Mus musculus: one gene and its partner. The protein of the gene in region 1 interacts with the protein of each later gene in a biochemical or structural test. Links are inferred from orthologs where the notes say so. Each region holds a gene or a part of one and is shown in the gene's direction. Other genes may lie near its edges.

Evidence for each region.
Region 2: the proteins of Cacna1a (region 1) and Cacnb4 form a complex in vitro, tested with the Homo sapiens proteins (2 studies listed by BioGRID). The link is inferred for Mus musculus from reciprocal best matches to the Homo sapiens genes CACNA1A and CACNB4.

What each region holds. Positions count from the first base shown.
Region 1 is NC_000074.6:84,413,055-84,418,792, forward strand, and holds the start of Cacna1a (voltage-dependent P/Q-type calcium channel subunit alpha-1A), read left to right. Parts: upstream 1-2,309; 5' UTR 2,310-2,589; coding exon of another isoform or gene 2,590-2,590; coding exon 2,591-2,889; intron 2,890-5,738.
Region 2 is NC_000068.7:52,452,358-52,457,332, reverse strand, and holds part of Cacnb4 (voltage-dependent L-type calcium channel subunit beta-4), read left to right. Parts: intron 1-1,623; coding exon 1,624-1,733; intron 1,734-4,975. UniProt on the Homo sapiens protein: The beta subunit of voltage-dependent calcium channels contributes to the function of the calcium channel by increasing peak calcium current, shifting the voltage dependencies of activation and inactivation, modulating G protein inhibition and controlling the alpha-1 subunit membrane targeting.

The sequences.
Region 1 (5,738 bases):
TTCTGGGAATCCAACTCACGTCAGCAGGCTTGGTGGCAAGCCCTTTTATCCAGCGAGCCATCTTGCTGGTCCCCTAAATCCATTCCTTCTTTTAAAAACTTTGTTATTTCATTTTATATGTATGAGTGTTTTGTTTGAGTGCATGCCTGTGCACCACATGCACACCTGGTGCCCAAGGAAGCCAGAAGATGGTGTTGGATTGCCCAGAACTGGAGTTACAGCTGGTTGTAAGTCACCATGTGGGCGCTGGGAATCCAACTGGGGTCCTTTGGAAGAACAGCCTACATTCTACCTTCTAAGCCACCTTTCTAGCTCCCCAAACTATTTCTTGGTACATCTGCTTTAGAAGTTAAGTTTCACATCCTATAATCCTGAAGCTACTACGTGTATAGAGCCTGAAACACTGCCCATACAAAGCCTCAATCCACAAGCAGGCAAGTTCACATGCATATGGTGTCTCAGGCAATGCCGTACTGTGGCCCCAAAAGAAAGAACCCAGATGCCCATTAAAAATAAAAAGAAAGAAAGAAAGAAAAAAGAAAGTGGACAAGCAAATTGTAGACTTTTCTTTATAGAGTATTATACAGCAAAGAAAATGTGTCACCCACAGGTTCTGCAGAATGATGCTTATTATGAGATCAAAAGGAGCAAAGCATAACTCCTGCCGAGGAAGGCATGCCAAGGTCATAAATAAAGCTAAAAGAATTAGCAGAATGCTCAGGCAGAAGTTATACTGGCACTGGCCCCCGTGTAGGCCTGTAGGCGGGTTTCTGGGGAGCTGGCTTCCAGGAGGGTTCATTCGCAGCAATTCCTCAACTTGTTCATTTGTGATTTATGTAGTTTTCTCTGTGTTCATGGAGTTTCCAAATAGGAAGAAAAAAAAAAAAAGCAGGTGGGGTGATCCAAGTGCCTTATAGAGCAGGGGCCAAACCGAGCTAGGCCAGCAGCCCCCGCCTAACACCCTAGGTCTCAGTGAGTGGTCTGCTCCTGGGAGCTCACACGGGGGCTGCCACCAGGATCTCCTATACATTAGCTTGGATTGGCCCCCTGGGACCCACAGCCTTCCTAGAAGTGCCCCAAACCATTCTTCTAGCTCATAAAAACTGTCTTCTGCTCAACAGACCCACATTTGTTCAGCGTCGGCCACCCGCACCAAGTCTCCAGACCAAACCCTCTGGTCTTTTAAGTTTCTTCCTTCCTGTTGGGCACGCCTCGTTCTAGGCAGCGACGCGGACCTCGGGTGGCAAGCAAGGTCCCTTGTGCCGGAGGACTCTGTCCCGACTTCCCCCTGCGCGCCTGGCCGCGCCTGCTCTCGCGCTGGTGATTGGTTGCGCGTGTCGCCGGGTGGGTCTTGCTCTAGGGCGCAGGGCCGCGATCTAGCCCCGGCTCCCGGCCGGGCAGCTCCCTCCTCGCACCCCGCACCTCTTCTTTCAGCGGAGCTGGGGGGAAGGGAGGGAGGCACCCGGGGGTGGGATGCTGCCAGGCTCTGCCGCAGCCCGAACCTCTGCCGAGCGGCGCGCACCGCCCTCCCTCGCTCGTTCGCTCGCTCTCTCGCCTCCTTCCCCCCGTGGGGAATTTTCAAGACTGCGCTGCTGCAATTTCCCCCCGGCCGAGGCTGCGCCGCGCCTGGCTGCGCGCACACACGCTTCCGCGCGCAGAGGAGCCGGCGGCTGCTGAATCAGGAGGAAAACAGATCGGCTTTTTTTCAAAGCCGGGGACCAGCGGCTCCCTGAAGCCTCCGAGCCCCGCCGCGCCCCTGCGCCCCGCTCCTCCGCCCTCTGCTCTCCAGTCGGGTTGAATTTGGGGGAGGGGCTGCAGCGTTTTCAGGAATTTTCTATTCTTTCCAGGTCTAGGAAAGTCAGCAAAACAGACGGACAAATCCTTCGCTGCCACCCTCTTCCTATAGCAAAGACCTGGTTTTGTTTTTTTGTTATTTAATTCTTTTCTTTTTATTTTATTTTATTTTTTTACTAATGGGCCGAGCCCACGCCTTTAGCAAGATGCCAAGCTGACCCGGACCTCGGAGGAATTTGAAGCCAGTCTCTGCGTCCAAGGGAGGGGGGACGTCCTTCGTTTAGACTTCGCGTTTTAAAGGGGGTGTGCATTGGAGCGTTGCTTTAAAAAAAAAAAAAGCTGATCTTTTTACACTATTTTTTTTAACTGATTTTTTTTTAACTGAAAAAAATTTTTTTTCTTCTTCTCCGGAGTGGGTGGCCGGGGATCGCCTGGATCGCGTCCCCGGTTATTTTTGCCGCGCCCCTCCCCCGCGCCCCGCCCCCGCGCCCTCCCCCGCACCCCTCCTCCCGCCCGGGGTCACCGCCTCTGCCGGCATGTCCCGAGCCGCGCTCCCCGGCTCGGCCGGGCCGTCCCGCTCGTGAGCCCCCCGAGCTGAGGCCGGGCGCCGCCGCCCGATGGGCTGGGCCGTGGAGCGTCTCCGCAGTCGCAGGTGCAGCCGCCGTCCCCACAGCCCGGCCAGCCTGAGCAGCGGCGGCGGTGGTGGTGGTGGTGGTGGCGGTGGCCGTGGCTTCCGCAGCGCTCGCCGCAGCAACAGCAGCCGCCGCGTAACCCGAGGCCCTTTGCTCTTTGCAGAATGGCCCGCTTTGGAGACGAGATGCCGGGCCGCTACGGCGCAGGCGGAGGAGGCTCAGGGCCGGCCGCCGGGGTGGTCGTGGGCGCCGCGGGCGGCCGAGGAGCCGGGGGCAGCCGGCAGGGCGGGCAGCCCGGAGCGCAGAGGATGTACAAGCAGTCGATGGCGCAGAGAGCGCGGACCATGGCCCTCTACAACCCCATCCCTGTCCGCCAGAACTGCCTCACGGTCAACCGCTCCCTGTTCCTCTTCAGTGAAGACAACGTGGTGAGAAAATACGCCAAAAAGATCACTGAATGGCCATATCCTTTTGCCCCAGCCCGAGCGGCTGCGCCTCCCCTCCTCCTCTTCTTCCTCCTCTTCTTCTTCCTCCTCCTCCTCCTTTTCCTCCTCCTCTTTTTTCCTCTGCGGGGCTGGGAAAGAGACCTGGGGGCTGATGGGAGCTGGGGGGCTTCTCGGCGGATAGGGGCTGGAGATGGGGGCCCGGTAGCTGAGGGAGGCAGCCTCCAGGCCTGCTGGGCTGCCGCTGCAGAGTGAGCCTGCGAGTAGTTAGGAGGCTTGGGACTGGGGGAGTGAGTGGTTCCTTGTGAAGACCGAAGGTCTGGATCCTGGGTCGGGTCGCGCGGGGACACTGATGGGGGCTCTTCTGATGGGGTCTGACTTCTGATGGAGCCCTAGCTGGGCCAGTGCTTGGACGATTTGGGTTACAGGGTAAGAGAACCCATACATGTCTCCCTCAAATCCTTCGGAATAGTACCCCGATCTCTCAACCCTGGCCTTCCACCCAAGGTGGGATCCTCAGGCCTAGGGTATAGGATACCATGTGGCCTGGCCGTAGAGAAGCCATCCCTCAGTTAGTGGCTCTGGGTGGGCCACCAGCTGCATCTGGGGACTGGTTTTTTTTTTTTTAGTGGTTTGAGGGACACATCATCAGAAGCCCTGTGTGCAACTTCCATTCTCTCCTGTCACAGATCAGAACCCCTTCAGCGTTATTTTTTGGGGTGTAAAGAAACATAATGCCATCCATCTGGTGAGGCCCATGGCCTGGGAAGATTTGAGGTGTGTTGTTTCAGTATGAGGGAAGGCTGAAGGAAGGAAAAGAAGTGGGGACCCTTTGGAGGGCTTTTTGTGGGCTTGGGTTTAGCTTCTCATACACTGGGGACCTGGGTAGGAACACCAGGAGGGTCAGCCTCCATATAGACATCTTGGGCAGGTAGGCAATCCCCCTTCCATGAAAGACCCAGAGAAAAATGGCAAAAAGCCGTTTTTCCTCTGCGGAGACTGATTGCACACACAGTGCCCCTGATTCCATGAAGTCCTCATTTGCTTCCCATAAACCTGGAAGAGGACATGCTTAGCATCTGGGGAGATGCAGGCAGGCGCGGGTGGGTAGAGTTGAGGTTTCTCTGCCGTCTAAGCATGACCCAGATTCCTGGTGTGGGGGGGGGACACACCCTGCTCCCCAGGCTGGCTGGCCACCCTGCCATGCCCAAATGTGCCTCTTGGCTTTTCAGGCTCCAGTCTGTTGAGGGCCAGAATTATCTGGGCTGGTCAGGTCCTTAGAGTTTACAAGGGGTCCATAGCTCCTCTGTAATGGGTGGGGCCCTTCCGGCTCAGGCAGAGCTGGGCTCTCGGAGTTTCTGTTCCAAGAGCACAGAGGGCTGCATTCACTTCTGGGGGCTCCAGATGGTGGTTCCTGGGGCTGTGAAATCAAATCAAGAGAGCAGGAGGTTTCAGAGTACGGGGTTTACTTGGAGGCAGTGAAAATTAGGTGTCAAAGGCCTTTTTTTGAGGAATGTCTCCATAACCACAGTGTTATTGGTGCCAGGATTTTGCCCCTGAATTCCTCCTTGCAAAGGTGGGTCCTGAAGGCTGGCAGTGTGCACTCCCAGGCATTCCAACCCAGTAACATGTTCAGAGGATGTGTGACTTTAGTACACATTCTGGAAAGAGTCGCTGGGGCTTAGAGGATGACAGGGGGTACAAGCACAACTTCAGGTGGCGCTAGGGGCCGCCGTCTTGAGGGAGCAGTCACTGGCCTGATGGGGCTTTCTTGTTGAGATGACTTTCCCCCTCTCTGTAGCCTTAGAAGAGGAGGCAGAAGAGCTGGCGAGCCCCTCAATTGTCCTCAGCTCACCCCTGTCTCTCTTGGATGCTGCAGTTCTGAGAGATGTAGGTGGTGGACCCTCACAGAAGTTATGTTTGGGCTGAGCCCTGGGCACCGTGAGAGCATCCCAACCTTGTTTCTTGGCTAGTTCAGGCCTCATTTGCACTGGGTAGCTTTGGAATGAGTGTGTGCAGTTTCCCGCCCTCTCTGCAGAGCCTCTATTCCCTTTTTGGCCCGAAGAATCAAACACTGTTATACAGCCCCACTCCAGAAGGGAGCGCTTCCCATCCCAGACCCAGCAGTCTCCAAGCCAGGTCATCATGCAGGGAGCTGCTTCCGGGAGGATTGGAGAGGGAGGGACAGAAGACCTGAGGCTGTTCCATCAAGAAATTCAGGCCAGTGGGAGGGAACAACACAGACTTGCCTGGGAGTCAAGATACCACACAGAACATTGACTTTAAAAAGAAAAAAAAAATCCAAATACTATTGGCATTAGGAAAAAAAAATGCTTAAGTAATTTCTCTAAAAAATTTCTTTTAGGGAGGTGAAGACAGAGTCTCATGTAGTCCAGGCTGGCCTCAAACTCTCTATGTGGCTGAGGAGAGTTTGAGTCATGACACCAGCTTTGCTCTGTGTTGGGGCTGAAACCAGGGTCTCACACATGCTCGGCAAGCACTCTAACAGTTGAATGAGCACATTCAGAGTATTTTAGAAAAAAGCCTAAGATGTGTACAGGCAAGCATAAGAGTTGGGGTTGGCACCACTGATGAATGCACACCCTCCAGGCCAAAGGACCTCTGTCTTCCCCTCCCGGATCACATCCGAACAAGATCGGCTGACCCTCTAACCTCCTTTTTATGCCTCATGTAAATGGGACTGGAGCAGTGTTCTTTTGTACCTGACTGCTCTGAGGATACCTTTAAGATGCTTTCTCATGCTGCAATGCATCCAGAATGTCACTGTGTGGTGGCCTCTCGGATGTTTATCATGGGCCTTTAGGGATGATCTCTTCTCCACTTTCTGTTGTTTCCCTCGGAACTGGTC
Region 2 (4,975 bases), on another chromosome or scaffold:
CACCAGTGTTTTCTGATGTCATGCAGCTCAGTTGAACTTTTCTTTTTTGCCTTTTTTTCCTTTTTTTCTTTAACAAAACAATGAAATTATGAGTGAGCTCGACATAGGAGAGAGAAGTTCAGAAGTATAAGCTCTGCCCATGTTGATGCTCACAGCGGTCCCAGGAAATCTCCTCACAACTTTTATTGCTACACGGGATAATTTGATGCTGCCTTAAATAATTATCAAGGCATAAAGGTTCAAGAAGTTAGAACACGGTGGTATTCCAAGCACCTGCAGCTTATAGATGCAGCCACCCAGGCCAGCACCACTTGGCTTCAGTATCCCGCTACAACTTCTGTACATTCTATTGCTGTAAAACTTGAGCACAGTGGTGGATACCTATGGCTCCTGGACAAAGGAGGCTGAGGCAGGAGGATTAGGAACTCAAAGTTATCTAGATACATATTGAGAGACTCTGCCTCAAAAAATGTTTGTTCGTTCCCGAGCCTTTATGAAAAGGACAATTTTTGGTCCTCCCTAAGGCTTCTAGTCACCAGAGCCTCCAGACTTAGAATGGCCAAAAACAGGAGGAATGGGAGGACGTGTAATTAAATTCATGAAGTTCAAAGAAGTTCAGCCCTGGAGAAGAATAAGTCTGCTAAGAGGATCAAGGGAAGCGATCCTCCCTTTATGAACTCACCCATGCTGTGCAGATGAGGGTAGGGAAGGTCTGTGGATTTCTCTGATTGTCCTAGGTGGACCAGCTTTGAATTCTACAGACAATAGTTGGAAGCTGAGCGGTCTCCGTTAAAAATTATTTTAAAACAATAAAATCTACAAACCATCATTTGATAATGTGTGGTCCAGCTGTTCCCCTCTCTCCATACAAAGTCTCTGCTTTAGTCTTCCATGGCAGCAAGGTGTGTGTGTGTCCTAACTTATCATAACTCCAGTGCTCACATTGACTTCAGCGACTGGGGTCATGAGTGCCAACCAGATGTGCACAAGTGCACACCAGATGTGCTCAGATCCTATACTGAGGCTTCCATGCCTGCAGAAAGGAAACCATATTTCTCACATCCTACCCACAAAGCTCCTCTTGGGTCTGTGGAGAAACACTTCATATATTAGAGATTAACTACTGAGCCAAGAAACACAACTTAGTTACCAACTGGTTGGGTTTGTTTTGTTTTTTCTGTGATCAAATGAAGCTTTCCCTTTTCAGCCAACGGTGTTAGGGCAGAGCAGTTGTGTATCCTGAAGGGCTTGTTCAAGAGCAAATCAACTGTGAGTTTTGAGGAAACTGTATAGCTATTTCCTAGAAAGAGCATGCCTAATTCATGTTTTGATTCCCTCCTGGTGTGCTGTGTGCTTTAAAGGCAACTTGGCCAGGCAGGCCATAATGGAGGGAGCCCATTTTCACTGGAGTGGTTTTCAGCTACAGAGCCAAAGCCTGCCGCCATTCATTGTTTCTGTTTTAATACGAGCCAGAGTCTGTTTAAAATCCTTGTGGCTGACGTTTACTGTACGGTGGTTCTGTGGTAGTATGTGAAGTATCTGCTAAGCACTGCAGCTATGAGTCACTCAGAAAGCCACATGACATTTTTACTGGCTTGTCCTGTTCTGTGTTCCTCTTCCTAGGATATCAATAACAAGAGTGACAGCTGACATTTCTCTTGCTAAGAGATCTGTCCTCAACAATCCTAGCAAGAGAGCAATAATTGAACGTTCCAACACCAGATCCAGCTTAGGTAAGATGTTTTCATATGGGCATTCGGTGTATGGGTGGGGAATATCTTGTCCTACTTGGGCACTGACCTACCTGGAGAAGTACTGAATATCTGTGGAGAAAGCCAGCCGTTGGACAGGACAGGGGCAGAGTCCTTGCAGCAGCCAGAATCCTTTTCTCCCTCCCTCCCTCCCTCCCTCCCTCCCTCCCTCCCTCCCTCCTCCCTCTCTTCCTCCCTTCTTCCTCATCCTCTTTCTGCCTCCATCTCTGTCTCTCTCCCCTCTCCCTCCCTCCTCCTTCTCCCCCCTCTCTGTCTCTGTCTGTCTCTCTGTCTCTGTCTTTCTGTCTGTCTCTCCCTTCCTCCCTTCTTCTTCCTCCTCCCCTCTTCCTGTCTGTCTCTCCCTCCCTACCTTTCTCTTCCTCCTCCTCTCTTCCTGTCTCTCTCCCTCCCTCCCTTCCTCCTCCCTCTCTCCCTCCCTCTCTCCCTCCCTCTCTCCCTCCCTCCCTCCCTCCCTCCCTCACTCTTCTTCCTCCCCCTCTCACTTCTAGACACTTAGTGTGGTGGGAGCCGACCTCCTCAGGCCCCTCTACCCAGTTGCTGTTGCACCATGGGGAACCACCTATCTCCTTCCCCCAAACATCCCAATAAGCTTCTGTTGTAGGCGACACATGGCTGACATGGAAGGAAAGAAGATGTTTAGAGAGGGAAGGTAATGATATTCTTGTGTGGCCAACTGGTAGACTCAGAAGAGTCACACCTTTCAGTAGAAATGGTGGCTACCATGATGGCCATGCAGAGAACTTAAACTTGTCTTTTCTGGGTACTTGTTGGAAAGCATCTTTACAAATCTTCCCATGAGGGAGACTATAAAGTTCTCAATGAGTTGGTGTGTGCATAGAAGTGAGCCACTTTGGGAAATGTTCCCCTGAGCCCATGGAAAAAATAATAACAGTTTTGGGAGCTGAGAGAGGGAGATGAACATCTGTAAATCCAGCACCTGGGAGTGGAGTCAAGAGGACCAGGAGTTCAAGGCCAGCATAGACTACAGAAGACCTTGTCTCAAAAGCAAGCAAGTAGCCAAACACAAGGAACATCACTAGTTCCAAAAATGCTGAAACACTCCAGTCTAGTGGTAAAGAGTGTTTATGAAGGGCCTCCAGCACCAGAGTCTATGACTGTCCCAGCTTTGTTTACCAGCAACAAATTTACAAAGAAGGTTCCCTTAGCACCCCTCTGAGAACCTGTCTGATTGTTGCCTTTCTTGAAGAAGATGAGATAGGTAAATAAAAGGGCCTTTGCCTCCCTTATGCCTGTAATTTGCTTATTATACTGTGTATACAGATTTTCCAAGTACTGGGCTCATCACCCACTATGTGATATGGCCTCCTTCTCTACCCAAGTTCCACCACTGCTTACAGCACAGGGCCATTGCCCAAGGGCTTTGAGCATTGCAGCAGTGACTATGAACCTACACTCCAGTTCATTGCTGGTGCATAGGAAATAAAACCCTGGTGTTTCTGAGCTATTTGGACCGAGACTTAGAGCGCCTTGTGGATTCTGGGTCCTGGGGCAGTGCCATTTGTATTGCTGCCTTTTCGTTTCTTCAGAAAAAATATCAAATGTGATTTTACATTATTTTATAATGATATGTGAGGCTTGGAACTAAAACAATGTCAGCTTGTTCTGCTGTAGTTCTGCCTAGAACTGCTTCTTTAAAACTGTGGCAAATCAATTAAAGCACAAATCGAGGACCTACCCCAACATCCTTCTGCTGAAACGGACTGCAGGAAAAATTGGCCTTATTTTCCAAATGGCCTTCTTGAGAAAAATTTCTTTTTAAATTGCTTCTGATGTGCTAGGGGAAAAACTGGATATATGTTCATTATTACTAACAAATGTAGACTATTATCTCATGAGAACTTGGCAGAGATTTTCTTAAATAGCTACCCTGAAAGCTGGTTACTGGAGCATCAGGATGGAGCCTTTCAGGTCATTAGTATTGAATAATGTGAAAGTGATATGTATTTCGTCTACTTAAATTCATATTTTAAAAGAAGATTGTCTCTTTATTTGTGTGTGTATGCCACGTGAATGTGGGTGGGTGAGAAGGCCAGAGAGATCGATCCTCTGGTCCCCTGGAGCAGGATTACAGGTGATCGTAATATGGATGCTGAAAACTGAGTTTAGTCTTCTGGAGGAACAGCGAGTGCCCCCTAACTGCTGAGCCATCCCTCTAGCCCCCATAATCATACTTTTTAAACATAGATCGTGCATTAAATGTCAGTGATTCTTTGAGAAATAAGAAGCTTTTGCTTCTATGCAAAGTCTTCCCCTTAGTAGAATCTAATTCAGATTTGACGCATGAGCCACTACATCGAGTGACTCATAAACTCTATGAAGGACTACTTGCTGCTGTTCTCCATTTTTGAGACCGTATCAGTTTTTGAGGCTGCAGTCTAGGCTGAAACTCTCTGCATTTCCCAGGATAACCTTGAAGTCATGATCCTTCTGCCTCAGTTTCCCAAGTTTTGTGATACCAGGTATTCACTACCAAGCTCAACTTTTATATTTCAGAAAAACATATGCTTTGCTCATATATTTTCCTTCAAACAAACAAACAAACAAGAAGAAGAAGAAGAAGAAGAAGAAGAAGAAGAAGAAGAAGAAGAAGAAGAAGAAGAGGGGCTTGTAAACCACAGTAGCATTAATGTATCGCATCACAGTACTTGGGAAGTAGGGACAGAAAGACCACAATTGGTTTGACCTGCATGGCAAGGCTCTGTCTCAAAACAAAGTACTTGGATTGCTTCAGACATTTGAAAAGAACTAGCATTTTTATTCGACTAAGTTAGAAGATGCAGATTTGGGTCACCTGATGATTGCAAGGAGCCAGATAGGTTTGAATCACGATACAGTACAACATTTGAATATAGTCAGCTGTGTGTGTGTGTGTGTGTATGTTAGTTATACTTATAGTAACTATACCTTAAACAACTCCACTGGCTCTAAAGCTTAAATTCAACTAGACTTGGTAATCTTCCGATTGTCTGAGGAAGCTCACAACCATTAGCCAGGATACAAAAATGTGCATAACAGCCCCTTTCCATCCCTCAAACGTGTTTCCTAAATGTGGATCTTGTTAAAAGCAACCCCCAAATGGAATCACTGTAGCTATATAAATAATGCTATGCTAGGGCCGTGTGTATAAAGCACACCAAGAGACCTGGCTCAAGTTCTTCTACCACTGTTTTATTCTAAGCACA